Lonchura striata: one gene and its partners. The protein of the gene in region 2 interacts with the protein of the main gene of each other region in a pairwise test. Links are inferred from orthologs where the notes say so. Each region holds a gene or a part of one and is shown on either strand. Other genes may lie near its edges. The genes, in order: WAC, NFE2L2, MAFK and MAFF.

Region 1 (7,146 bases), on a different chromosome or scaffold from region 2:
CCACTTTTAAATGTGAATTTAAATGGAAATTTTAGATTGGGTTCACTCGATCCCAATCATGGAATTCTAGCAACATTTCATCTTTTTATTTGAATGTTGGGAAGCCCCCATCTGTGTGTAAGTACTAGCCAAGTTACATTTTCCCTTAGTTTTTTAGTAAAAAAAAAAAATTGAGCACCTCCAGTTATTTAGTTTTGACACTGTAATGCAACTAGCCATAATAATGGCTGTGAAGTAGATTTCTTTAAAGTCTTATAAGGCTTCTCTTAAAGCTTCTTTAGTTTTATCAGCTTCAGTAGAGCAAGAGGCATTATTTATGATTACTCTAAGGAAAACAAACCTGTAATTATTGTTTGAAACCAATACTATAAATAACTGTACTGTTCTCTATTATATTTCTATTATAGAAATTGTTTTTCACAATTTTAAGTTCTAGTGCAGCTAATAAGAAGCAGCTTACATTTGCAACTCCAAGTTGTTGCTCTTTAGTTAGTACTTTTCCCGAATCTTCCTATTCCCAGTAAATCAGTTACTACTATGAGTCTAAGGGCAGATAGAATGTCATAAAATGTCCAGTCAAATAAATCACTTTTTTGCTACAAAAAATAGCAAAATTTTCCTGTTTCTCTTCAACATAAACAAAGTGGTCCTGAGTGCTGCAATACTCCAATAGCAATGCTCCTGAGATAATACACTTTTATTACCTCTGCATTACCCACTGGGAATTCCCCAAAGGGCCATACAAGTAAACTGATTAGCCTAGTCACAATCATCCCTGATGTAGCTTGGCAACCAGAAGAACATAAAATTTGCTCCCTATTATTGATGAAGAGCTATTACCAAAACTATTCACATCTTCATTCCCTCTATATGTGCACCTTACAAACACACCACTATCAAGTCAGGAGATTTCAACTGCACTTCTTTCAATTTAAGTAATTGGTATTGAATGGAGATTCAGTTTAAGTCATTGTTGTAACATTTCAATAAGAGGGACAAAATGCACATGTACGTGCACACACTGCTGAGAGACTTCTGCAGAACAGAGAGGTTCAGCAGAAACAAAAAACAGCATTAAACTGATATTTATGCCATGCTGTTATATTATCCCTGATCTCTAAACTAAGTTCTATTTTAATGTCCTCTGTAAGAATGACTGATAGCTGAAAACCACTTCTCATTTTCTTCTTTCACCTTTCATTTGTATTTCTTTCATATCATTTTAGGATGTTTACTATTCTCCACAATTTTATTACAATTATTTAACAGATCAGTCTAAAGCTAAAAGGAACTAAAAAGGCTTCCAAAAATTCTATTACTGGCTTCTAGCCAGGATTATCTTCTTTGGTCTTTATTTACCTCTGTATTTTTAACTGGACCCCAGTGGTTTTTCAGGACTTCTAGTTGCTACTGACGTGATTTTCTTACCCCCAAGTGAATTACTGGTCCAAGCCTTCATGGTGCACCTGTCTTTGCACTTGCACCAAACCCTTTCACTGCAGCACATCTCCTTTCTAAACAAGGCTTTGAAGAATACCTTAAGAAGATGCATGAACCACATACAGTGTTAAATTTTAAGCCTCCATGCCCTGCATTACTCCTGATTTCTCACCTTATCCCTCTATTATTCAAATAGGCAATTATTGTAAACGGGGCTGTCTTTGTGCAGGCATCAAAACTCCGAGCTCCTAGAGCAAAGTAAAAGTAGCTCATTTCAACTTGGTCCCAACAGTAAAGCCTAAGCATTAGTAAAATGAAAAGAAGTAGTATCTGATTGACTTGCATCTACTAGTTTTCAAAGAATAATTTACTGGGAGCCATCTGAAGTCAACCAATAAAACATGCCTTTTTTCTAAGACTTGAAGCATAATGATGTCAAAACTGACAGTCTCCCATCTGCCTCAACTACCTATCTGCTATTTTTCGTAGTGTTCAATTAGGTAGATTTCTTAAAGCAAAACGGCAACTTTATTTAATCTGTTTTCTAGTGCATTTGAAAATAAAAAAACATACAGAAAGACTGGAAGAAAACCGCTCTCTGCTTATACTGTGGCTGTAGGGTTCCGTGGCTGACCACGTTTCTCACCTAGTGGAATTCTAGCACTGCAGAGTCCAAACATTTGACTGTTTCATGTTACATGGGTTTTCAGATCTGGTGAATGCTTTAAGCTTCCCACTTCCTTCTTCAGGACATTAAGTAAAGTTCTAGAGCTATCCAAAATCTTCATGTAAGCAGCTTCAGTTTCAGCAAGTATTTTATCAAGCTCATTCCGTGAAGCCACTTTTTGGGCCAAGTTTTCACATACACACTCCAGCTGTTCACTGAGGACTTGGATTTCATGCTGGAGTTTATTCTTTTCCTCTTCTGCTTGCCGGATTTGTTTGTTCAATTCTTCTTTCTGCATACATAAATCTTCAATGCATTTCACTAGTTCATTATTGTAACCCTGAAGAACAGCTCCCTGCTGAGTCATCCTGCACTCACTCCCTGAAGTCCCCTTTCAGCAATGGCCTTCTGCACTCAAATTAAAGGAAAACAAACAAACAAACAGAAAAAAAAAAAAATCTGTGAGAGCATTGCCGTGAATAATGCTTCACTAGCACAGATGGAGCCACTGGGCAAGGTTCTCTAAGTTAACAGGCCCATTCTCAGATATGCCACATCTCTTCCCTTTTCAGGAGGCAGACAGGACAAAATCTGGCAAATGTTCTTAAACCTTTACTGTAAACTGCTGTCCCTTATGACACTGCCATGGCACTGGCATCGAAGTATTTATGATACGGTTAATAATACCTTTGTACAACCTTGAATATAGGATGCTTTGTACATCAGACTTCGAGGGCCTGGTCAGAAATAAGCAAAAACTACAGAATCACAGAATGCATAAGGTTGGAAGGGACTTGTGGAGATCATCCAGTCCAACCCCCTGGCAAGACAGGGTCACCAGGAGCAACCAAGTGGGTATTGAATGTCTCCGCAGAGGGAGACTCCACGCCCTTCCCAGGGAGCCTAATCCAGTGCTCTTCCACCCTCAAAGGAATTTTTTCCTCATTCTGAGGTGAAACTTCTCGTGTTTTAGTTTATGGACGTCGCTCCTCGTCCTGTCACCGGGCACAGCCCTGAGTGGCTCAGCAGGCACTGCCAAGGCCAGGGAATCTCCCGACACGGCGGCGCCCGCAGCTCCCCCAACACTGGGGTGACGCGGCTCGCATGTGCCGGGGCCACGGCGTGTGCCGCCCTCACACCCCCGAGGACACCCCGGGACCGAGGCCAGCCCGAGCCCGCGGCCGCCGTCCCAGGGACATTTTAACACCCTCCGCGCCGCACAGCGCGGCCCCGCCGACACGCGCCGCGCACAAAATGGCTCCCGCCTGCACATCGAGTGCCCGGGCGGAAGGGGAGGAGGGGGTAGGTAAGAGGAGACCTTCCCATTCCTATGTCCCCCCCGCCCCCCGTAATTCCCCCTGTTGCCCCCACCTGCCTGGCAGGATCGCGATTCCTCCCCACCGAGGGAGCGGCTCTGCCACCGAGGCCGCGCTGCCCTCGGCTACCCGGCCCCGTGCTCCCGCCAGCGACCGCGCCGGCCCACGGAAATACCCGAGCGCTTCCGAACGTGGCGCCGCCCTGACGGCCGCACGGAAACGTCTCTCCGGAAAAACGCGATGTTTTCCGAAGACAGGTAGCGCTCGCAAGAGTGGGCCGAGGCGGGAGGGGCAGGGAGGGCCGAGCGTTACGGAAGGAGCCGATATTTGCCGAAGGGAGGGACTGAAGGGCGTCGTGCGCGGCGGAGGCAGCCGATGTTTGCCGAAGGGAGGGACTGAGGGGCGTCGGGCTCGGCGGACGCAGCCGATGTTTACCGAAGGCAGAGTCGCCCGAGAGCAAAGGGGACAGAGGGGACGGAGCGCGTCGGAAAGAGCCGGAAAGAGCCGACGTTGACCGAGCGCGGCGTCGCCCGAGTTCCCCGGATGTAGTTGGAGCGGCGGCGGCGGGCGCGGCGGGGGGAGGCGGTGGCCGAGTCGGTGCTCCCGGTGTGTCTCAGCGCGCGCGGGGCCGAGCTGCCAGCGTCTCCCCTCTCGAGGCGATGGGCCCGTGAGCGCCGCTCCAGCCGAGCTGCCCGAGCCGCCCCCTTCCCCCGCCCCTGCCCCCGGAGCGCTGCCGCCCCCGCCTCCCCCCTCGGCGCCTGTGGCCCGGCCGCGGCCGTGCCCTCCTGGTCCCCTCACCCTCACACACACAGGCCGGGCATTGATGGTAATGTATGCGAGGAAACAGCAGAGACTCAGTGATGGGTAAATTCACCCCCTCGGCCCCGCGGGGCCGCCCCCCCCACCCCCTCCGCCATGTTCGGCCCGGCCGCGGGGCCGGTAACGGGCGCTCGCTAACGCCTCTCTCTCTTTCTCTCGCTCTCTCCTCAGCTGTCACGACCGCAGGGGGGACTCGCAGCCCTACCAGGTACCGCCGGGCCGGGAGGAGGAGCAGGGGAGGCGGGGGGGGTGCTACTCCAGCGGAGGCTCCGGCGGCCGCCGCAGGCCGCGGTGCCCCGGCCGCCCCGGTCCGGCCCCTTGCGGGGCCCAGGGCCCGGCGCCGCGCGGCGGAGGAGCGGCGGCGGCCCGGGCGCGGGGAGCGGGGCCCCGCTGCTCGGCCGAGGCCTGCGGAGCCGGGGCGAGCGGGAGCGGCCTAGTGCGACCCGTGCGGGGCTCGGGCCTGGAGTCGGGGAGGGTGCGAGGGGCAGGAGAGGGAGCCGGGGTCACCTGTGGTGGAGTGGAGATCCAAGGGAGGTGAATGTTTTTCTTCTAAAAACAAAAGGAGTCTTGCTCTTCCACCGCCCCCTCCCCCAACCCCTCCCCAAAGCCCTTTCTTCTCCCCAAAACTGCTGCTGTGGGCTGTAACCTGAGCAGGGCATGGGTTTAGAGCCTGACCAACTTGGGGCTGCAAGTGAGGCTTAATTTCTGCAGTTGCCAGCTGCTAGGCATGTTCAGAAACCATCAAATCCTTGAGTTACCGACAATAGTCTCAATTTGTGTAAGGTGGATACTGCACTTTACTGTGTCTACTGAAGAAACCAAATTGTCGAGGTTCGAGTCTGTGGAAAGCTGTATGTTGTGATATTGCTCTCTGTGGGCCCTGAATTGGACTGTTTTACTGCATTTCTGTGTATTTGAATCACTGAAGTGCACTAGAGCCGTCCAAGGCAGCTGTCAGTGGCAGTTCACAAAAATGTAAACACTTGCCTCTCAGGAGTTCACAAAACCAAGCAGGTCAGAGTGCGGCAGAACATGTAGTTTTTGGTAAAGAGTTTATAATGAGTTATTATGTTACATGTTGGCCCCCTAGAATTATTTTTGGTTTAATTACAAGGATGTTAGTACTGAAAAAAACGTCACAGAAATTCAAGATAGTGATGCAACCAGGTGGTCTTTACTAGATTATGGAGGACATATTCGAAGTTTACACTGATTCAGTGTAACTTAAAGTTTGTTTTCCTAGTAACAAGTGGAGACTAGTTCCTCTCCCAAAACTGTTGAAGAGCTGTGGCCCATTTACTGCTGAAACTGTGTAATTCATCAGTGGAAAGATAGAGAAACTAGGATTCTTCTTAACAGCAAGTGTTGCATTTGATTTAATAGTGGGAGAAATTGGTTTAAGTTCTAATTACAGAACTTGTTGCTTTAATGTAGGTAATTAAAACTAGGAAGACTAATGCTGATATGTTTTAATAGGCAATGAAAATTATTTAACTTTTAAAATACTTCTGAAAGAGAAGAAAAAAATCCAAAAATTTTGTATCTAATGTAGATGCCTATGTTCTTGTGATCTGTTACAGGCTCTTAAGTACACATCCAAGAGTCACCCCAGTGGTGGTGATCACCGTCATGACAAGATGCGAGACGCCACAGATCCTTCGCCACCAAATAAAATGCTGCGGCGCTCTGACAGCCCTGAAAACAAATACGGTGACAACACAGGGCACAGTAAAGCAAAAAGTGTGCACACTCACAGAGTTAGAGAGAGGGATGGTGGTAAGTTATCTTTAACAAACTTCTACTTAACCAGTCACTGATTTCTCATTAAAATTAACCAGTATCAACTCAAGTGATGTCTTACACTAAATGTGCCTTGTACTCAGCTAGGGTGATTGCAGTGAACCCAAAGTGGGAATTTAATTGGAAGCAATCATTGAGGCATTATAACACCTATTAATTTTCTGGTTTTTACAGGTATGGTAGTTTTCCTTACAGTCCCAAAGATTAAATAAACCCTTTTGTTATTATTTTAACTAGTATGTCTCATTTATTTAGGCATACAGCAACGTTTGATAACATGAAATAGTTTTCCAATTTTTCATTAGTAATATTGGCTGTTTTGCATCCTTTCAATGACTTTGCGTATTGTGATGTTGTACTTTGTAGGTACATGCTCTATAGATTAAACTCCAACAGAAATGAAAAAAGCTTCTTTGTATTTAGCTGCTATGTAGAACTCTAATAGATCAAAGGTAGCACATACTAGAGCCTTTCTTGACTGGAATTTGAAGAAGTATGTTCACAGTCAAGTTAGCCTCCTATGTTTTTACAGGCTTATAAACAGTAGCAATATCCCCAGTTTTTTTTAACTGATCTTATTTTGCATCCCTGCTTCCTAGGAAAATAATAGGATTTTCCAGGTAATAACAGTGTTAGGTAACAAACAGCCAGAGTTTAGAAAATTGCAATTGCTGTCTGAATTTGGAAAAGTTCTTTTGTTCTGTTGATTGGTGTTTGTGTCAAGGTACAAGGTGAAGTATTCCAGTAGAGAATTTGGAGCTTTAAATCAGTGCTTCTTTTTTCTGTATAAAGCTAACAAATTCTGATGTACATACATGTTTATTGCTGCACTAGTTTTACTTGATATAATAGTTTTAGTAAAATAAAGGAAGTATCTTTCAAGTACCTTTTTAGGACATACTAGTGTAACCCTACAAATGTGTTCATGGATACCCAATTATTCTTGTAAATCCTATTTGTTTTTCCTTCTTTGGTTTAATGCTGAGGCTCTCTAGGCCACTGTTAATGACAGAGAAGTGTGTAGGTGCATTATAAGAACATGCCTCTTTTGTTAATACGCTGAATTTCATTGTATCTGATAATAATTTGAAGTGTAGTAATCTC
Region 2 (7,043 bases):
GCAATCACAGAACCTCCTGTGAACTGCCACACCTTCCTCAATGCAACAGGTTCTTACCCTTCTGATTTCTTAAGAGTGGTAAAGTAGCACCAGCCCTTTCCTTCTTCATCCTTTTTCATCATCTTAAACTCAGAAGTCAGCTACACCAGGATACATCTTAGCAACACATGTTGCTTAACCACCGTTCTCTAAAGGATGAAGTCCTTATTATAAAGATTCCTCTGAGTATTGGGGGTAAGGTGCAAAGCCCCTCTGAAGACACTTATATTCAAATGGTACCAATTCTTTAGGAGTTAACTGATGTTGCTGCATAATAACATCATAATCGTTAGCAGCAAGAATTTCAAGTGTCTATATGAAGAAGGTAACACATTACCCTGAACAACCTGCCTGTGAACTTGACACACAGCAGACAGCTCACTACATGCTTATCCCTTAGTTTTCCCTGTGTAACAGGATGCCCACAATAATTAAAACATATTCACAACCCTCTTTTCGTCCCTAGGAAAGCAGCTTCTCCACAGAGATAGGATAATCAGGATATGCTGTCCAGCCTTCTGTTGCAGCAAAACAGAATAAATTTTAAGCCTACAAGCTACTGAGTCAACATTTAGTTAATCTAAATGAATTATCCCTTTTAACAAAGACTAAATAATAGAAAGTTTGATTTGAGTAAGTTATACAAGTTTTCTTGAGATCAGCATCAGTGCATGATCCATCTCTGAGGCACTCATACTTTTGAGCACACCCAGCAGTTACTCTGGTACAACTCTGTTCTAGGAAGTTGTAGCACCTGACTGCTTCCAAAGCAGTTCAAGTTGAACACTTCACGTATATACAGTTATTCTGAAGATTAAGTAAATTTTTAATTCAAGTCTCACCAGCAAAGCAAGCTTACCAGTCATCAAAAGTCAACAGCATAACATAAAAGGACAGGAAAAGTAATTTCAAGGAAGAGTTATTTTCCAGCTCAATCGTTTTACCAACTTTTTCAGCATGCCTATCATCTTCTTCAGGCTTCAACACACATTGTGTAACTATGATTCCAGCTTTCACTGCAACACTCAATTAAAATATTACATTTAAGCCAGGAATGCCACTGAGAAATAACATCTCTCTACTCTCACAGTGCCTAAGATTTCCCTCAAGAGAATACTCAAACAAATAGATAGTTGCTTGTCTTCTGTGGAATTTTCCATCTCAATAACTATAACTTGAAAAAGTAGAAACACATCAATATGCATTGCTCAGTCTTCCAAGGCATTTTTATTTGGAAACAAGAAGAATTAGATTAGACCCACAGACTCAGTCAATACCATGTGCTCTTCATACTCCCCTTGCTGGTGAGAAATAGTGTCTGGATAAGATCTTTAACAGTTTGATCATGAACTATCAACAAGAAAGCCATGCTTTAGAAGTCACTGTCTACTGACTGTTAGAAAAACAGCCGGAAAAAAAAATTCTGTGATCACAGACCTAAAGTACTACAAACGGTTTTTTTCCATCAAAAAAAAAAATAATTTACTTGCAGAAGAAATGTAATATGAGGAGAGTGGAACTGAATCTGCTAAAGTAGCGTCTATAGCTTTGCTACTATTTCAAACACTACAGGAAAGATGCAACAGGTGTAAAGAACAAAAGCTTCGCTTAAGGTACTTTTGGCTACAGCTTTGCTAGGAAAAATTAAAGTAACAATTCAAAAGAGGCAGAAGAGCTGAATCAGCATTCAATAGACAAGAAGACATCATCCAGCTTTGGATTGTCCTAATATTATTTAAAAAGGCATGCACAGTCTCTAGGTCAGTTATTTTTACTAGATTTTTCCAGCAACCTTCTTAGCATCGCAAATAAAAATCAGCTCCAGATTAGCTGGGAGTCACTAGAACAAGACTCAGGCATTCATCATTTCCCACTCCAAATCAGTGTAGGCAACATAACTCACTCCTCTATCACTCCAAAACCTGGGTATTATCCTCAAACATGAGCTCAACGAAGATCCACATAGCCTAGCTATAGTGAAGTATCAGAATTTCCACATGCAGCATCTTAGGTGTGTTTCAACCATACCTCAGATGTTCAGACAGAAACTTAAGACAGAGATAAAGATCCCTTTATGTTTTTCTTGTTTCTACACATACAAAAAGGCAGCATTCTAAGTACAGCAAGAAAGTTATACCTCTAGTGAAGAACAAGCTAAGCTTTCCCTTACACCCCCACAGCAAATTTTCATTCTGAGTCCAGATCAAGTTATTTACAGTAAAAATACTAACCCATTATGATCCTGTAACAAATCCTAATAGGGGAGAGCAATATCAATAACTTGTAGAAGTACAAATGTTAAGTTCCCCAAGCCTATGTTTCCACAGAGAAAGAAGCTATCTTTCAGGTCACAGGCATCAAAGGTTTGTTTTCTCCTGCTTTTCACATATGCAATAACTGGCTGCAGAAATTATACAGCAATCCATTTAAGATAAATCCCTGAAAAACAGCTAAGCTGGTATTTTTCCATAAACAGTGATTTCTTCCTAGATTCAAACCAAACAAAAACTCAATATGGAAGGCAACAACTTCAGAACAACCCATCTGTCCCAGTGAGCAGCACAAGCATCAAATTCTCCTCAATGAGAACTAAAAGCTTTCAAAGCTGTTCACATCTGACCATATGTGCATGACATCCCAGTCCTCCCAAAGTAGGCAAGTTCAGCTTGTGACTGTAGGCCACAACTTGCCTATTAGGAGAATCCAGGCTGTTCCTTGCTCTCTTTTTGAAAAGGTTGAGAGCAAAGCATAGGCTGAATGGATTCTCCTCAAACGAGGAACAGCTCCTCTATTCACTGCTTGCCCAGTTTGCCTCTGGACTACGCCCATACACTAACAAACGAGTTCCTGTACACAGTTCGAGAGAGAATAGGAGGTTGTCTACATCCTAAGCCTTAAAATGCTCTTATAAGATAGAAAGGGGGAGAAGAAAGTCACAAAACTAATACAAGTCCACTCCAACAGAAAGGAGGCCTCATAATAACAAGTTACATGGAACTACATAATGGTATTATAATCATAGCATTTAAAAAAAAAAAAAATCTAGCAGAAAAACAAAGCCAAGAGCCAGTGAAATAACTGTGAACTAGAGAATTTGACTGCTTTCCCTTGGTGTCATGTGATCTGACTCACTACTACAGACAGCAAGAACCAGAAAAAGTATTTGATAGCTCTAAAATCATTCATTTCTAAGAAAGTTTTGTTAGAACCTCACACGTGAGCACACTCTGCCAGTATTCACATCAGCTGAAGGTTTCTGTGAACAGCAGAGGACCAAGAGACCACAGACCTTGCTCTTCACACGTGCTGCATTCCTCATTAGAGAAGCCTCGACGTATTTTACGAAAACGAAACTTCTCCATCACATCTACAGACGTGAATCAGAGGACCATGAACGACTTCCCATTTTAACACCATCCCACTTACTACAGAAACAGGTAAGAGGCTGAAGACCACCTTCTTTCGCTTTCCTCCAGTGCCCGCAGCGGCGAACGGCTTCAGCCATGTACATCACCCGCGACCGGCACCCGCCTCAGCCGCCCTCCTCCCGCGGAGCCCACGCGGGCCCCGCCGGCCCGTGCCCGCGCCCGGCCGGAGCAGAGCGCCGTCCGAGCCCGGCCCGCGCTCCGGGACCGCGCCCGGCCCGGCCCCGCCGCCGGCCCGCGGGGACCCCCGCCCGCACCCACCGCTTCTTCGGGATGGAGCCGGAGGCCGGCCCGGCGGAGCCGCCCTGCGCCTTGCAGGGGCTGGGGGAGAGCGCTCCCCGCCCCGGGGCCCGCGGCGAGCCCCGCAGGTGCCCGGAGATGATGCGCAGCCGCCGGCGGGCGGAGGACGGGGAGCCGCCGCCGCCTCCCGCTGCCTCGCCGGCCGCGGCCGCCATCGCTTCCGCGTTGCGCCGCGACCGCCGCCGGGTGAGAGGGCGCGCGGGCGGAAGGCGCCGCCCGGCGCTCCCCGCGCGGGCCCGGCCCGGCCGCGCCCCCGCCCGGCCCCGGCCCGCGCCTCGGCAGCGCCGGGCTCGGGGAGAAAGCGTTCGGTAAGGATTCCCGCCTCCGGTGCTGTAATTACAGCCCCTCTGGGTCGCTGAACAAACGGGAGAGAACACAGAGTGTCCTTTAGAGATAAGGATTGCCCAAGTTAATGATGAAATGCTAATTAATGACAATAGCATAGGCGGGTTACTTAAGAAATAGGTCGGTGTGGTGGCAGATAATCCGACAGGTGTTGCAGATTTTATCATCGCTGTTGACAGGGCCACAAAGCCCTGGTGAGCGCAGGGCTGCCGAGCCAGGTGCCTCTGTGCCTGTGCAACCCGGCTGGCCTGAGGGGGAGGATCCGGCTGCTGATCTGCTCCCCAGAAATGATTGCTGACCCACTGCTGGGAATGCATCGCCTGCTGTATGGGATACCCATCACTGGGCCGATCCTTGCAACAACCGGCCATCCTCACCGTACTTGGGACCTGGGAGAACATCAGGGATTCACTTTGTAGCATCACTTTGAAGAGGGCAACTGGGATTTAAGGGGAGATGCAGATTTGATGCCAGCCCCAGGTGCTTTCTGCTGTGAATTTACCTTGATGCACCTGAATGCTCAGGAAAGGATGCAAAAACTGGAAATACTTTAAAGTAGAACAGGAAAATAGGTTTTCTGTCTTCAAATATGTAAAAGATTGCTATCGACTGAAAGGAAGCAATCTGCCCGTCATGACTCAGCTAGGTTGGTGAGAAGTAATGAGCTCAAACTGCAAGATGTAACTTCAGTATTAGCATTAGACTATTTTCTGATGGCAGTGGAAATGAAAAACTGTTGTAGTCTGCCTAAGTAGAGAACCAAGTCACCTTCATTAGCAGCGTTAAGAACAGACAACATACATCTATCAGACATACCATTATAAGCAGTTCTGCTCAGGGCAAGGTGACCTGCTCAGATTAATTCCAGCTTTTCCTCTGTGGCATGAAGTATCTCACATGTTGTAGTCTACTCAGTTGTCACACAGGACCTACTTTCATGATCGGCTTTTGCCACTGACTGGCACCGACCAGCTTTTTGGAAGTCCTGAAGTAGATTGCTGGGGTCTACGCAATGACTGATAGTTTGATAATGACATTTTGTCTATCAATGTTGATTTATTTGTTAATTTCTTCATCGAATGTTTGTTACGTGAAATACAATCCCAGGAAAATTGATAAAGCTCTTACCCTCTTCCAAACCTCTTCTAAGGACCTATTTCTCCCATGATACTTCAACATGGTACCTTTCCATGAACTAAGCAATTTGCAGGAGGTTCCCCAGGGAGCAGGCTGTACTGCACAAGCAGGGAGCCTTGGGCTCAGTTCCTCACCTCACATGCAATATTGGTGCTTCTTTGAGTCACAGCTCCCATATATATATCAGGGATAACAGGATCTCCCCAGAGAGACTGGTCTGAAGATAAATACACTATGGACTGCGTGACAATATAGGACCAACCCCAGTAATGCCTACTGATGAGAAGCAGTTCATAAAGCCACCCAGGTGTTATTACTGTTTGTTTTGCTTTTATTCTCACCATTGCTAATTGATTTTATACCCTTTGTATACTTTCTCTAGAAAGTAGCCTGCAATTTTCCTGGGGCAGTGATTGCACTAGTTGCACTCAGGCTTAAGTTAGGTTTCCGGTATTAGTGCAACATAAACAGCTGTTGTGGCAGTTCAATAGTTTGGTTATGGAATTAAATTTCCCCCCGTGAATAATTTGTACACAAATTTCTGGATTAACTCATGCATATCCACATTTAGCTGTCTGCTGTTGCAGAGGCAGTCTGTAGGGAACAAATATGGGTCTCAACTGAATTTCCACTCACATTGTTTACTGAAGTTCTGGGTATAGCTGGGGGGACTTTGAGTCACAGTTACCTAAAACTTTCCTCATTGCTGAATGCTGCCAAGTGAATACCAAATCCCCTGTAGTAGGCTTCAGGTTTTCCTAGAATGTTTCCTTGGATCACAGTCACTTGTAAGGAACAATAATGAGCCAATTGGTCATTTATTTGATCCTAATTGTAGAGCTTCACAGTTAAAAATTGGCCTCAACTAGAATCTAATAAGTAATATTTGTAATCACCTCACAACTTGTTTCTCAAAAAAGTTCCAAATTAGTCTTTAAGTATGTGTGTGAACGAAGATTTAACTGGAGATGCTAGAGACGTAGTGGTATGATTTGGAAACTCTTGAGAGCCTTGTCTTTTGCAAAGCAGAGGAATAGCTAAGTCACACCTTGTTTTCGTGTGAGAGAGGTATTTTCTTACAGTAAGACTGCTAAGCTCCTACCAGTGCTCTGCATGCAATCCCTGCTTCCCTTGGAAGGATGGCAATCTTCATAAAAAGCAGCAGAAACATAATGTGCTGTCAGATTGTGAGGTCACTGTTTCTCATTTGCTGAAGTGAACCACTGGCATGTTTTCAAAAACTGTATCTAATTTAACCATATAATTCATTCTGATAAGTAGTAGTGCCAAGAAGAAAATTTAGGGAAAACAAATTTGAAAGTAATCTGTTGTGACACCAAAGAGAACTTTTATCAGTAAAAATACCAGCAGATCTACAATGCAGTAGTTGGAAGTATTCTAATTGTTGTTGAGCCAAAGCAGCAGCCTTTGCCATTCCATGAGCTGTTCTGCCCACAAAACTGAGTGCATCTGTAAGCATAAGTGAGATGCCAGCTCAATGTGACACCTCATGCCAACAAAGGCCTGCATTTCCAGAATTCTGCACATTGGCATTTTCAGAAAATAGTTTTAAAGCCAGTTTACAGTGTAAACAAAATAAAGTTGCCAAAGTACTGTAAAGTTTCAGAGAGGTCTTCATAACAAGGTGTCTCAGAGTTCCATTACGCAGTGGTCCCATGAGAGACACGGACGGAGCATGCTCTCAGGACAAACACTCCACTCCTAGGCAACCTGCACACAGGCTGTGCAAAGGAAAAACTCTCCTGATAAATCTTCTTGCCTTGAGTGGAGTCTGGA
Region 3 (7,652 bases), on a different chromosome or scaffold from region 2:
GACAAGCTTACAGCACTTTTTCCATCACGTGCTTGTAAAACGCGGTGACAGAGATATACTGGAATTACACCTCAGCATCACCAGCCCAGAGATGCAGCTCCCCAGCCGGACAAGCTGAACCACCAAGCAACAAGTAACTTCCTCGGATGCACAGCCAGACCCTGGGGCAGAACTGGGATTGGGATTCCTAACTTTGCTGCTTCTGACCCAAAGTGCCAGCCATCAAGTCAGCGATCTTCACTAACTGTAATAACGGAACATAGCGGCATCGCTATTTGGCATCCTTCAATATTGCAAAGCAGTGGGATCCACTATGCAGCCTGTCCCTCAACTCAGGAGCACAGTGCCAGGGTAATTGCTCTCACTACTGCCTTCCCCCAGCCCTTGTGCTGACGGTCACAGGGCACTGCATTGCTTGTGCTTGCTTCATGCTTGGAAGACTCTCTGCCCAAGTTTGAAGATAGCCTCAAACAATAGCTGAGACAGAAGTGGAAATTGCCTGTTCATCTCTACAGGGTGCTGAGCCTGAAACTTCCTGATAATTGAAAGTGCTAGCACCGCTCAAGTATTTCACAGCTGGATGTTTACAAAAATGATCAGTGAGCGAGCTTATCCCGCAAACCCCGACTGCCGCAGGGGCCAGCGCTCCCAGCTGTCCTTTCTTCACTTCCCAAACATCTCACACAGCTAGAGATTTTCAATACCAAGTCCTGCAGCACATTCCATGCCATTAATCATCTTCCAATGCTGATGGAAATCAGAGGGTATCAAGCTGATCTGTATTTTTCCCTTTCAGGAGGCACACAGCAGTACTGAACTCCATGCTGCAACAGATTGCCGAGACGGGCGACGGCGCAGAAATGACATAAAACATGACAAAGCACGCTGCCCTTGACAAGCAAGCAGGGATAAAATAAAAAACCGCCAACAAATTTCTGCCTGTGGTTCAGAAACAGTTGCGAAGCAAGGCGAGAAGCTGGCGTAATACAGCCGAGAACACCTAAGAGGGCTCAAAGCCGTCAAGCTCGGAGGCCGCCGAAGCGGGCAGGGTGTCCTGCCGGCCAGAGTCACCGTGTGCCCAACCTTGCGGCAAGCGGCCCGGGGACTCGGCCGGCAGCGCCGGGGCCGGCAGCGCGGCCGGGCGGGAGCGCGGCGAACTCCGCGGCCGCGCAGCCATTGGGCGGGCGCGGCGTCCATCAGCCCGAGGAAGTGACTGCACGGGGAAGGCTCGAGGAAGGGCTCTCCGCAGGCAGCACCGCGGACACACACGGAAGGAGAGGGGGGAAAAAAAAGAGGAGGGACGCACGCTGCTTTCATCAGTGAGGAAAAAAAAAAAAACATAAAACACCGCCCACCCACCAGGTAAACTCGTTCGCTGCTAAAAGCCCGACAGCACGGGGCGCAGGGCTGGGGCGCGGGGCTGCGACCGCCACAGGGCTCATTACAAAAACTGAAAGTGCAAGAAAAAGGCGTGCAGCTTTTCAGGGAAACACGCAGCTCGCACTGGCTCCCTCCACCTTCCGCAGTCCCAGCTCAGCATTAGGCACGCTAGCAAAGGAGGGGGCGGCCAGGTGAAAGCGAAAATGGAGGCCCTTCCCTTTTCTGTAACAACTTTGCCCAAAGGGGGCTCGTTCCTAATTTGAGACCTCATGGCCTGCTTTCAGCAGAATCTGTAAAATAAATCCTCCACGGAGAAACTCACGAGGGAGAGGAACGGGCTCTCAGCCCGAGGAAGAAGAGGAGGAGGAAGGAAACAGACCCTGACACACTGTGAGAGTTTGGCGATCTCGGTTCCCGTCGCTCGTGGTCTGGATGTTTCCCCACCTTATGCCGCTGCCGTCACGGGGAGGTTGAAGAGGTTCCCCCCACCCACCTCCGCACTCCTGATTAGATCCCCAAACCGTCCCGCACCCACCAGACAGTCACGCGGCAGTGCCCGCTCCCGGAATGTCACCGTCCCCTTTCCTCCCACGGCCCGTCCCTCGGCGGCCGCAGAGCACCCCGTTTCCAGGGCGGCCCCATGCACACGCAGCCCTCCCTCCCCACAGGCTCCGGCACCGAACACACCATGCACCTCTCCCTCTTTCGACCCAACCAGCAGCTGTGCTCAGCAGAGATAAGCCCCCCACCCGCCGCAGCCCTGACCCCCAGCCCATCCGATGGGCAGCGACGCGCCCGCCTGGCGTTTCCCGGTGGCGGCGGCTGCTCCTGCCCGATAACCCGGGGCGGACAGCGGATCGCGAAGCCGCCACCACGCCCGGCCACGCTGCCCGGCCCCGGCTGCGCCCCGGCTCCCTCCGTACTACAAAAGCTGCTATTCTTAGTCGGCGGAGCGCGCGGCGTCACAACAGGTTTCCTCACATGTATTTTAAGAGCCATTCAAAGGCAGAGGCAGGCAGCGCGCTCATCCTCGGGGGGAAGAAAAATAACAACAAGAGACACGGAAAGCATCACCCCGGCAAACAGCCAGGGGACCCTCAGCCCCGCGTCCCCTAGGGTGCGGGGGCGCTGCCAGCCCCGTCCCACGGGGGTTCAGCGGAGCCGGCTCCGCACTGGTGCGAGGTGACAGGGCAGCGGTGACGGCGGGGCCGTCGCGCCTCCGCCCCGCGGGGGCTTCGGGGGCCGCTCGGCGGGGGCGGGCGGCGCTCCCCGAGCCCCGCCGCCGCCCTCCCCTCGCCCTCCGCCGGGCCCCACGTGCGCGCCCGGCCCGGCCCGGCCCGGTGCGAGGGGCGGCGGCACCACGTGCCCGGCGCGGTGGTGACTCAGCACTTTTACCTCCGCCGCCCCGCCCGCCCGCGCCCAACCGGACCCGACCGGACCGAGCGGGACCCGGGCGGGAGCCGCGCCGAGCCGCCCCTTCCCCCGCCATCGAGCGGCAACGCGCGGCCACCCCCCCTTTCCCGGCTCCGACCCACCCCCCCGCCCCCGCCCCCTCCGCGCCGCGCCCGGGCGGCTCCTCACCTGCGTGCCGGCGGGAGCGCCCCGTGGCGGGGGCGGCGGCGGGGGCGGCGGGGGCGCGGGGGCGGCGGCGGGGGCGCTGCGCGGCTCCCTCCTCCCTCCCTGCCAGCGAGTCCCGCGGACAACAACAAGCGCGGGGCGGCCGCCTCCCCCCCGCCGCGCCGCCGACCAACCAGCGCCCCCGCCGCTTCCGGCATGGCGCGTCACCGCGCGCGTCACCGCCCGCCCGGCCCGCCCGCCGCGTCACCGCCGGGACCGCCCGCGCCGCGCCGTTCATTCATGGGCAAGGGCGCGGGACGGGCGGGGCCACGCTGCCGGCACGTAGTCGCCCCCCTTCGTCCTCGTCCGCGTCCCCATCCTTATTCTCATCCTGGTCCTCATCCCTCCTTCACCTCCATCTTTCTCCCCATCCACACCCTGATCCTTATCCCTCTTCTGTGTCCCCTTCATCCCCATCCTCACCCTGATCCTTATCCCTCTTCTGTGTCCCCTTCATCCCCATCCTCACCCTGATCCTTATCCCTCTTCTGTGTCCCCTTCATCCCCATCATCACCCTGATCCTTATCCCTCTTCTGTGTCCCCTTCATCCCCATCCTCACCCTGATCCTTATCCCTCTTCTGTGTCCCCTTCATCCCCATCGTCACCCTGATCCTTATCCCTCTTCTGTGTCCCCTTCATCCTCATCCTCACCCTGATCCTTATCCCTCTTCATCCCCATCCTCATCCCCGTCTCCTCTACGCCATGCCCCGTGCCCCCGCCCCGCTGCGGGGTTCACCCCTCTCCGGCAGCTCCCTGCCACCCGCATCAGCCCCGATGGCGGGAGCTCACACGTTTTGTGCAGTCATAGAATGGTTGGTTAGGGAGGGACCTCAAAGCTCATCGCCTTTCAACCCCCCTGCCACCATGGGCAGGGACACCTTACGCTAGACGAGGCTGTTCCAAACTGCATCCAAACTGGCCTTGAACACCTCCAGGGATGTGGCATCCACAACTTTTCTGTGTAACCTGTGCCAGTGTCTCACCACCGTCATGGAAAAGATTTATTTCTGATTTCTAATCTAAACCTGCTCTTTGTCAGTTTAAAGCCATTACCCCTTGTCCTGCCACCACGTGCCCCAGTCAAAAGTCCCTCTTTAGGTTTCTTGCAGGCTCCCTTCAGACAGGGAAAGATGACAGTAAGAGCTCCCTGAAGGTCTCCTTCTTTTGTCCAGGCTGAGCAATCCCAATTCTCTCCTCATACAAGAGGTGCTCCATCCTTCTAATCAATTTGGTGGCCTCCTCTGGACTCACTCCAACAGCTCCATGTTGTTCCTGTGCTGAGAACCACAGAGCTGGGCACAGCACTGCAGGTGGGCTCTCACAGAGCAGAGCAGAAGGGTAGAATCACTTCCCTTGACCTGCTGGCCAGGTGCAGCCCAGGACACAGTTGGCTTTCTAGGTTGCAAGTGTTTTCTTGGCTCATATCCAACCTCTCATCCACCAGCCCCCTCAAATCCTTGGAAGGGCTGCTCTTGATCCATTCATCCCACAGTCTGGATTGATATCTGGAGTTACCCTGACCCAGGTGCAGCACCAGCACTTGGCTTTGTTGCAGGGCAAATGATGGTGGGGGAACATGTCCTGGGCATCCCAATGCTCTTGGGAGGACTCACTTGTTCCCTGGGCACCTTGAGGTGGCCACTGACTAGCCTTGTCCTCCACTAGCTCTGGACCAGCCTTTGCCAGCACTGCTCGTCCTGCAGCTCCCTGAGCATTGCAGCAGGGCCAAATCCTGCCCAGGGCTGGATCCTCAACCCAATCTTTGCACTTTCTTCATGCAGTTATGTGAGCTACTAAACACAGCACCCTGACCCCTATGGTGTGAACAGCATTTCGGACCCTGGGGCCATTCAACAATGATGATAATGCATCAAAAAATGTAATAACACAGGCAGTTGACTAAACCAAACTGCCTCCATCTCAGCTGGACTTGTTTTGCATTCTTTGTGTCCATTACAATGTTGGAAAGTCTGTGTGAGCCTCATGCAGTTTGTGCTTTCCAGCCTAAGGGCCATAACTGAGGCTGTGAGTAAGATCCCGTCTTTCCCTGCTCCCTTTGAATAACAAGAGCTGCAAAACACAGGGAGCCTCATATCTGGCACAGCCCCATGCATCTGGGCAGCCAGAGCAAGGTTTAGGTGAATGCACCTCCCTGATGTTAAGAAATCCCCATTTATCACTGGAACTGAGCTAATGAGGTTGGCTAAAGCTCCCAGGTGGTGGGTGGCATGAAGCTGCTGTCCAGTGTAGCTGCAACAGCTCGGCCTTCACCTCTCCCAGGTTTGCAGACACTGGTTGAAATACTGCCCTGGGTGCTGGGAAGGGTGATCTAAGGGCTAGAGGGCCCTACTGATGCTTCTGAGGTTTGTCTCCAGATCTCCTTTCCATCCAGGAAGGTTCTAGTGTCTCAGAGAGCCAAGCCAAGCAAGGAGAGAGATGCTGGGTGTGGGAGCCTTTGGAGCCACAGATGTCCCCAGCATAGCCACCTGCTCCTTGTGCTCTCTCTGAGTGGTGATAACCAAGAGTGGCCAGAGCCATCCTAAATCATCCAGGGTTTATCCCTGAGACATTCACAAGATGCTGGTCCTCAAGGGCAGGAGGGATGGGCTGGCTGCATCCTGCATGGGGGTTTCACCGTCTGTGGTGACAGCCCTGCATATGGGGCTCAACAGAATTGAGGTATTTCCCCCTCTTTTTGCAACAACATGGGGTTTGAAAGATCACATATGGCAGGAGGGGAGCAGCTGTGTCACGTGAAATTCTGTTTCTGGATGAATTTTGCTGTTCACAACAGGTTACTTTTTGTTTTCATTCCCTGGGGAAAGTATCTGTGCTCCAAAGGTCGGTTTTCATTCGCTGTTGAACTTTAGACATGGGTGGCCTTCAAAGTAAACAAAGAACAGCTCTCCAGTCCCTTGAAATGTGGGAAAGCCTGTGCAGCACACACACTTGTTAAGCAAATGAAGAGGAGTGCATGGGAGACAGGACCTCTGGTGAAAACTTGGATGGAGAAAGGGCAGTGTTCTGGGATGTGTGGGGTTTTGTGAGTCTGGCCCAAAACACACCCAGCATCACGATTCCCTGAAGCCACTGAGCAGGGATAAATTGCTCTCACCCTATAAGAGGGCACAGAGCTGTTCATTCTCTGGGTTTTGACACCGTGCATGCATCAACTGTGGAAAAACCTAAAAAACCCTCCACTCTCCCATACTCCCCACTCTTGAACAGCACCGAGCGTAGACACAACTATTAAAAATAAAATTGAAAAACCGCCCAACGCGGAGGAGGGGCGATGCGCTGCTACTCCAGAGGCGCGGTAGGAGCCGGCCGAGCGGCTCGTCGGGTGTTTACGGCGGGGCCGGCGGAGCCGCAGCGCCGGGAGCGCGGCCCGGTGCTCGGTGCCCGCCGCCCGCCGCCCGCCGCCACAATGTCAAGAGGAGACACGCGTATGTAAGCGCCGGTACGGCCGGAGCGGGGCCCGCAGGCGGGCAGGGGCTCCCGGGGCGCGGCGCTGCCCGTGCCCGCCCGGGGACGCGCCGGTGTGTGTGCCCACCGGCTGTGTGTGCCCACCGGCTGTGTGTGCACACCGGCTGTGTGTGCCCACCGGCTGTGTGTGCCCACCGGCTGTGTGTGCACACCGGCTGTGTGTGCCCACCGGCTGTGTGTGCACACCGGCTGTGTGTGCCCACCGGCTGTGTGTGCACACCGGCTGTGTGTGCCCCTTGGCTGTGTGTGCCCACCGGCTGTGTGTGCCCCCCTGGCTGTGTGTGCCCACCGGGCTGTGTGTGCACACCGGCTGTGTGTGCACACCGGGCTGTGTGTGCACACCGGCTGTGTGTGCCCCTTGGCTGTGTGTGCCCCCCTGGCTGTGTGTGCCCCTTGGCTGTGTGTGCCCACCGTGCTGTGTGTCCCCACCGGGCTGTGTGTCCCCTCTGGCTGTGTGTGCCCACCGGGCTGTGTGTGCCCACCGGGCTGTGTGTGCCCACCGGGCTGTGTGTGCCTATGTCCCCTCTGGCTGTCTGTCCCCACCGGCTGTGTGTGCCCACCCAGCTGTGTGTGCCCACCCAGCTGTGTGTGCCCACCGGGCTGTGTGTCCTCCTGGCTGTGTGTGCCCACCCAGCTGTGTGTGCCCACCGGGCTGTGTGTCCCCCTGGCTGTGTGTCCCCCCTGGCTGTGTGTCCCCTCTGTCTGTGTGTCCCCACCGGGCTGTGTGTCCCCCCCGGCTGTGTGTCCCCACCGGCTGTGTGTGCCCTCTGTCTGTGTGTCCCCACCGGGCTGTGTGTCCCCCTGGCTGTGTGTCCCCGCCGGGCTGTGTGTCCCCGCCGGGCTGTGTGTCCCCTCTGTCTGTGTGTCCCCACCGGGCTGTGTGTCCCCCTGGCTGTGTGTCCCCACCGGGCTGTGTGTCCATGCCAGGCTGTGTGTTCCCACCGGGCTGTGTGTCCCCTCTGTCTGTGTGTCCCCCTGGCTGTGTGTCCCCCTGGCTGTGTGTCCCCGCCGGGCGCTGTCCCTGGCTGCGTGTGCCGTGTGCCGTGTGCCGTGGCGTGCAGAGGTCCCCGGGCCAGCCGCGCGTGGGGAAGCCGCGGGCGGTTGCATAAGGCGGAGGCGCTGCCGCTCGGGGAGGTTCGCGGCCAGGCCCCGGCGGGTTGAGCCGT
Region 4 (7,017 bases), on a different chromosome or scaffold from region 2:
GCAGCCGAGGGCGGCTGGCGTGGCAATACCCAGGCAAGGGCAGAATGGAGGGGCAGGGGAATCATCTACAGCAGCAGATCCTGAGATGGACCTGCCTCCTGCTCCCTCCCCTGTGCTGCCTGTATTTAGCGAACCCAGCTCTTCTCCAGCCTTTCAGCCTGCTCAAGAGCTGGTTGTCCCACACCTGTGTCCAAGCTGGAGGAAAACCAAAGGGAGGAGCCTACCTGCCTGCCAGGCAGCTCCAAGGAGCAGGGATGCTCTCTGTCCCTACTTCCTGCATCTTCACCCCTCTCTCTCTCCACATCTCCGACTCTGAGGGCTGGGAGCACCTTTCCATGGGCTTTGTAGGTGGTGGGGCACCGGGGAGGACTTGGTGGGGCCATACAAGCTGGCCTGTGCTGAGCAAAACAGTGTTTATCTCTGCTCCTGCTGCCTCTGCTTCCTTCCTGCCAGTGCTGCTGCATTTCAGACACCCGGCCAGGCTGTGTGTCCCATCAGCAGGAAGAGGCGTGAAGGATGTGCATGCTAGAGATAGATAAAACAGCACCACTGCTTTTCCCCTTCGTGGACAACAGCCTGGAGTGACCCACTCAGGTCTCCCAGCTCCCCCCTGCCCAATCACTGTCACCTCTGGGGTCCCCCAGCACCACAAGCTGCCACAGTGCTTTCCCATTCCATTCACCCTTACCAGGCATTAACACGCAGCCACTTTATCTCCCCCTCTGACCTGCTAACCTCCCCTTGCCATCTGAATCCCCAGAGATTTCAGACATGCTGCCACCTCCCTTCCTGCTCCAGCTGTGGTCCAGGTTATCTGCCTAATGCCAATACCCTTCTATCATGCCTTCTTCCCCTACACTGCAAAACCTCTCTCCCTGGCACATGCTTCTGGGACTGCCTGGCCCACATGTGGCTCTCCCATGTCCTCTCACAAAAGAGAGGCACGTGGCATTTTCCAACCAGCTTGGAGCTGTGGGATGCTTCCCCACTGCTGCCTGTGTGGGTTCACTCTCTCCTGTCTGCACACCCAAGAGGGGAGGGGGCTATGGGGGCCACCAGTGAGGTCCTGTCCTCCATCCAAGTACCCACATAGCAGCAGCCCTCCCTACCTGGGGGAGCTGGAGGTCAAGGGATGGGAGAAAGAGGATTTTGGGCACAGGTCCTGACAGAGAGGAGGTTGGGGAAGGGCTGGGAGGCAATTCATAGGGAAGGCACCCCGGGGAGGACTGTGCCCAGCGGGGGAACAGAGGCCAGCACTAGGAGTAGGCAGCCTGGTTGGTGCTGGACTTGACAATGGTGATGACACTGGCAGTAGCCACCTTGGCGGGGGGCCCGTGAGTGGCCACGGTGCGGGCGAAGCCCTGCAGGGCCTCGTACTTGCCACGGAGGGTGTCGAGCTCCAGGCGCATGGCAGCGTTCTCCCGGGCCAGCTTGTCCACCTCCCACTCCAGCTCCATCTTCTGCTTCTGCAGCTCTTCCTTCTGGCAGACGCGCTTCACTCGGCAGCTGGCAGCATAACCCCGGTTCTTCAGTGTCCGACGACGCTGCTTCAGCCTCGCCACCTCCTCCTTGGAGAGGCCCCGCAGGTGGTGGTTGAGTTCCCGCACTGACAGCCCCATCAGCTCCTCATCTGACAGCAGTGGAGTGTTCTCCCCCAGCTCCCGCTTCACCTGCCGGAGAGAGGGGTGGCTGCCTGAGACCCCCAAAACCAGCCCCCTGACTCCCAAGCCCCTGTTCTCACTGGTGCTCACCTTCAAAGCCTTGCTGGAGAGCCCGTCTGCAGCCATCCTTTCCTCGCTCTGGCCCTGCTGAGCAGCCAGGAGAAAAGCTGGTTACTGCCAGCCCCGTGTTCCTCACCTCAGAAGAGAGGACACCAGCCCTGCTGGTCCCCTGCCCGCTACCCACATCCCCCCCACCCCGGGCCGCATGACTCATCCCACTCCTTTTAAAAAAGTATATAGTAATAATATTAATAGCAATGATGACTGCAAGCAATAATAATAATGAGGCAAGGATGGACCTCCCACCCTCCTTCATCCCATCACGAGACGGTTGGGATGCTGCTCTGCCCAGGGGACCCAAAATGCCCCAGCCGTCTGCTGGGAAGCCAAGCCTTTCCCGCGGGGAGGAAACACAGGCGAGATCCGCCCGGGGCTGAAGGGAAAGTAAAAGCAGCAGCCCCACCGAGTGACACGGTGGCGAAGTCACCCAGTCGGGACCCGTGTGGAGACGCTGCCCCACCGCCCGGCGAGAGCACGGCGGGTCCCGGCGCAAGGGTCGGGTGTCCCCTGGCTCGGGGGCGGGCGGGTGAGAAGTGGCCGCCCCGTGATTCAGCAGCCCCGGGGTGAAAGTCACGGAAGCGGTGCCTGCCCCTCGCCGATGGCCGGTCCCTCGCCGCCCCCGGGTTCGGAGAGTGAGGAGGGGTCCGGGACCCCGGACTGCAGCCCAGCAGCGTCTCCCCACCTCGGGGAACCCCGTCCTCGTTAGGACAGCCCTCAGAGGGACGAGGGGGGCCGGGACGGGGCCGAGAGCGCCCCGAGAGGAATGAGGGGCTGGAGGGGGGCGGCGGGAAAGGTGGAGCCGGGCCGGCTGGAAGCTGATGCAATCCGGGCCGGGGATCCGCCGCCGGAGCCGGAGGAGCGGCGGCGGATCCCTCCAGGGCGGTGGCCGGCAATTGAAAAGGAAGAACGGACGGCACCGAGCGCGGCTGGCCGGCCGGCCCCCTGTCCCGTCCCCCCCAGCCCTAGTCCCGGTCCCGATCCCCGCCTTCGGCGGCGGCAGAGAGGCCTCCAGCCGGTGCCGGACCCCGCCGCCCCCTTCTCCCGGCCGCCCCGCGAGGGGCGAAGCCGAGGCGGGAGCGGAGGGGCCGCTCCGGCCGGCGCTCACCTGGCGGCTGCGCTGGTCCCGCGGGGCCGCTGCCGGGTCAGGGCGTCGGGCGGCGCCTCCAACCTCGCTCCCCGCGATTACTCACCCGCGGATTCTTTTCATTCATAAAAACACAGTCATGCGGTGACGTCACCCTCGCCACGCCCCCTTACCGCCGCTGCAGCGCGGGACGGCAGCTGCCCTTAAAGCGCCCGCTGCCCTTAAAGCGCCCCGCGGTGCCAGCGCTCCTCGCACGCTGCCAGCGCTCCTCGCACCCCGCGCTGGGAACGCGGCCGCGCTCCAACAGCGCTGGATTGACCTCGAGCTCAGGGGAGGCGCACGACTGGTGAACGGCGCTGCCGGCAGCAGAACGCCCCACCGAAATGGGCCGCTCCCGCTTTAAGAAGGGCGGCCCCACCCCTGTCGCCCCGCCCCTCACAAAGATGGCGCCTTCCGCTCTCCTCCTTCGGCAGGCGGCGGGCGCCGCTTTAATCCCTCCCCCATGGCCCCGCCCCAGAAGCGGCGCCGCTGATTGGTCCGTCCCGGGGGGCGGTGCCGGCGATTGGCGCGCGGCGGGCGGTGCGCGCGGGGGGCGGCGCGCGGGGGGCGCTGGGGGCCCGTCGTGCTTTGCCCGGCGCCATCCCCGGATCCCGCCTCGTCCCGACCCCCGGTCCGGGTCAGCCGTGCCTGGAAGGGCAGGGGCCGGCGGGGCCAGTGGCCGCCTTTCCCTCAGGAGAGGCCGCCTGAGGCTCTGGGAAGATGCAGTTCTTTGGGCGGCTGCTGGACACCTTCAGCAGCGTCACGCAGATATTCTCCAGCCCGTACCGCGTGAGGGAGGTGCCGGCCGCCGAGTACGCCGGTCACGCCTGCCTGCGGGAGGAGGGCAGGGTGGCCCTCTACAAGAACAGCCTCTCTCGCTCCTGGGACTGCTTGCTGGTGAATCCCCAGAGCCCGCAGGTCGCGTTCCGGTGAGTGACAGACCTTTAGCCGTCCCTGCTGACGTGGGAAAACAAAGACCCCAGATTGCTGATGTCGGGACTGCTTCGAGGCCGTGGGTGTGGGTTGTTGTGTTGAAGCAGCAAGTGGGCTGGGAGGCCTGTGCGTGTGCTGGTGGAGGAGTTGTCGCAAAACAGCTCGTGGAAGTAGGACGAGGTCCAAAAATTGCGACTACAGGCAGTTGTGATATAGTTCAGAGCATCCATAGGTCCACATGCATTTCTGCTCGTTCATGTTTCTGTGCAAAACCTGACATTGTTCAGGAAGAGGGGTGCTCTCTTCCAGTGGTCTCCCTGCTTTCCTTGGGACAAAGGTGACCTTAGTTGAAGAAGAAAAGGAAAGTTCCCAGCACTGCCATTTGGAAAAGAGCTGTTTCCCTCACGTACATGGGATTGGGGTTATTCCTTTGAGCAGGATGAACCTTGTGCTTGCCTTTTCTCCAGGCTCTTCCAGCTGGACAACGAAGCAGACGCCCTGGTGTACTTTGAGCAATATGCCCGGCAGCTGCGCCCTTTCTACGAGAGCTCGTGCCAGCCCTTGTCCCTGGAGGAGCTCCAGCAGCTCAGCGACTGCATCCGCAGCTACCCCAGCTGGTCCCCTGCACACATTGCCGTGGAGTTCGGCCGTCGGGAGAGCTTCCGGCACAACCACATCCTGAGGCAAGGAGCAGGGTGTCTCCAGGGGCTCCATGCTCGGAAGGAGCTTGGGAGGACAGGCTGGGCTGTATTAGAGTATCCCTTCTTTGCTGCGGAAGCTGGTTGGTGGGTTTCAACCTGCTGCTGCAGAGCCTGGAGCTCTGGTGTTTAAAGTAAAGGATTGAAGTGTCCTGCTAGAGATACTGATTAGGTTATTGCAAGCCTTCTGGAGCAGCTTTTTGGAGGAGGTTTTTGCTCGCTTTGTAAGCACTGAGAGTGGAGATATGGTAGGACTGTCTGGAAAGAGGTTTTGGCCACAAAACCTTGTTGGTTTTTCATGGGGAACTTCTGCTGTGATTTAACCCCAGCCAGCAGGCAAGCCACATGCAGCCACTCCTCATTTCCATACCAGAGGGAGTGGGGAGAGAATTGAAAGAGTAAAAGGTAGAAAACCTGGGTTGAGATAAAGAAAGGGAAAGCAAAAGCTGTGTACACAAGCAAAGTAAAATAAGGAATTGAATCACTGCTTGCCACAGGCAAGCAGGTGTTCAGCCACCTCCAGGGCCCCATCATGCATCTAGGTGACTTGGGAGGACAAATGCCATCACTCCAAATGTCCCCCCACTTCCTCCTTCTCCCCACACTTTATATACTACGCATGGTGTCATATGGGCTGGAAAATCCCTTTGGTCAGTTGGGGTCACCTGTCCCAGCTGTGTTTCCTCCCAACCTCACCTGCACCTCCAGTTTCCTTACCAGTGGATCAGTATGAAAAGCAGAAAAGGCCTTGGCTCTGTGTAAACTCTGCATAGCAATAACAAAAATATCTCTGTGTTCAGCACAAATCCAAAACATAGTCCCACACCAACCACTGTGAAGAAAGTTAACTCTACCCGAGCCAAAACCATCACAGATTTACCGAGGATAGGGCAGATTGGTGAGGAGGTAGGGGACTGGAGGGCAAATAGCAGCACCATCTCTAGGTTGCTGACTGTAACCTGTTTCCTGCCTCCCTTTGGGCAGAGGGAGTTGATCCCATATGGAGGGCAGGGAAAGGAGCAGCCTGTCAGGGAGATAGTCCAGGAGATGGCTACTTGATGTCCCTTCCCTCTGCTTCTTCTCTGGCCAGAGGCTGGGCTTTCCTGAACTTGATGGTTCACACCAGATGGGACACATCTCTTCTCCGTGGCCATTCCTGGGCCTCACGCTGAGTCCTCTCTTGCAGCTGTGTGAACAGCACGGACAGCGAGGATGGCTGCACCCCACTGCACCTGGCGTGCCGCAAGGGGGATGTGGAGTGCCTGCTGGAGCTGCTGGAGTGCCACGCGCGGGTGGACATCACCGACAAGAATGGGGAGACTGTTTTCCACTATGCTGTGCGAGGAAACAACCCCCAGATCATTGAGGTGGGAGCGACTTCTAGTTTGGGAGAAAGTGGGACTAGAATGGGTCTTCTCTGTGCTGTGATAGAGGTGGGAAAACAGCTACAGACAAGGGAAGAGAAAGTCAGTTCCCTGTGTTGAGTTATTGCTTAAGCCTGATTTCAGCCTCTTATATCCCCTCTTTACTGGTGCTGTTTCCCATATTCAGAGTGCAGATTCCACCCAGCACTCAAACAAGGATGCTAAGCAAGTTTCCCCAGAATGTAATGCTTCTCTGCTTTTTTGCATCAGGCCTCTATCCTGCTTTACCTCAGGCCTGTGGCCATCTGTTCCCTCTCTCCTGCGAGCAGGGTGTTTGGTTTTGGGCAGAGTGCTCCTATAGGGAAGTGTGTGCTGAGGCTGCCATGGGGGATCGTGTGCTGCCCACAGACTGAAGGGCAGTTTGGAGCTGCAGGACCTGCTGTTTGAACTGAGTGGCCTTGCATGGAGCACAGTGATCAGAGCCTCGAGGCAGAGACAGTCTGAGGTTGTAGATGTTCTTGATTGCTGAGAAGTGCTGGGCAGAGTGACGGGGTTTGTAAGGTGTGGGTGGCCTTGCACATGGTTCCTGAAGTCTGTCAGCTCCCCAAGACTTGGTGCAAGCCTGGGACTGACTCTTCCCCATGGCTGCAATCCCCATGTTTGCCCAATACCTGTTGTGACAGCTCTCCCTCTGCCTACCAGTCGGTGTTGGAGTTTCCTAATGCATGATGAGGATCAGGGCTTGCCATGCTGTGGAGTGGGCACTTAGGAACTTTGTGTTAAGAAGATATCCTCTTCTTTATTTCTCTGGTGACATCAACTTGGCTTGTTGTGTGATCTTTCTCATGTTTGTTTTCTGTATTGATTCCTTGCTAAACCAACAAAAATAAACTAAATTTCCACTTCTCATATGTGCACCAGGGCTTGCAGGGTTTCCCCAATGTGGCAGTGAAATACTTTTCTGCAACAAACCAGTCAGCATGTAACAGATCTGCAATTTACAGGGAGCAGGGATGAAGAGGACAGGCTGTAGCATTGTGAGGGGTCCAGTGCTCCAGAGACTGTCCACAGAGCTCAAGAAGAGATTATGCTCTTCCATGTTTATCTGTCTATTTATT

What was found.
Region 1: the proteins of NFE2L2 (region 2) and WAC interact in a two-hybrid assay, tested with the Homo sapiens proteins (2 studies listed by BioGRID and IntAct). The two-hybrid records come from large-scale screens. The link is inferred for Lonchura striata from reciprocal best matches to the Homo sapiens genes NFE2L2 and WAC.
Region 3: the proteins of NFE2L2 (region 2) and MAFK interact in binary tests that used the Homo sapiens proteins (3 or more experiments, as listed by UniProt). The link is inferred for Lonchura striata from reciprocal best matches to the Homo sapiens genes NFE2L2 and MAFK.
Region 4: the proteins of NFE2L2 (region 2) and MAFF interact in binary tests that used the Homo sapiens proteins (3 or more experiments, as listed by UniProt). The link is inferred for Lonchura striata from reciprocal best matches to the Homo sapiens genes NFE2L2 and MAFF.

The regions. Positions count from the first base shown.
Region 1 is NC_134603.1:141,328,561-141,335,706, forward strand, and holds the start of WAC (WW domain-containing adapter protein with coiled-coil), read left to right. Parts: upstream 1-4,145; 5' UTR 4,146-4,246; coding exon 4,247-4,287; intron 4,288-4,413; coding exon 4,414-4,450; intron 4,451-5,822; coding exon 5,823-6,018; intron 6,019-7,146. Other genes in the region: microtubule nucleation factor SSNA1, read right to left, coding at 2,130-2,474.
Region 2 is NC_134610.1:22,648,023-22,655,065, reverse strand, and holds the start of NFE2L2 (nuclear factor erythroid 2-related factor 2), read left to right. Parts: upstream 1-4,030; 5' UTR 4,031-4,072; intron 4,073-7,043. Other genes in the region: AGPS (alkyldihydroxyacetonephosphate synthase, peroxisomal), read right to left, coding at 3,726-3,919.
Region 3 is NC_134618.1:12,878,882-12,886,533, reverse strand, and holds the start of MAFK (transcription factor MafK), read right to left. Parts: upstream 3,009-7,652; 5' UTR 2,962-3,008; intron 798-2,961; exon of another isoform or gene 1-797. Other genes in the region: lysosomal alpha-glucosidase, read left to right, coding at 6,428-6,450. UniProt on the Homo sapiens protein: Since they lack a putative transactivation domain, the small Mafs behave as transcriptional repressors when they dimerize among themselves.
Region 4 is NC_134607.1:23,669,171-23,676,187, reverse strand, and holds the start of MAFF (transcription factor MafF), read right to left. Parts: upstream 3,004-7,017; 5' UTR 2,887-3,003; intron 1,809-2,886; 5' UTR 1,788-1,808; coding exon 1,752-1,787; intron 1,671-1,751; coding exon 1,257-1,670; 3' UTR 1-1,256. Other genes in the region: PLA2G6 (85/88 kDa calcium-independent phospholipase A2), read left to right, coding at 3,625-3,833, 4,305-4,520, 5,722-5,902. UniProt on the Homo sapiens protein: Since they lack a putative transactivation domain, the small Mafs behave as transcriptional repressors when they dimerize among themselves.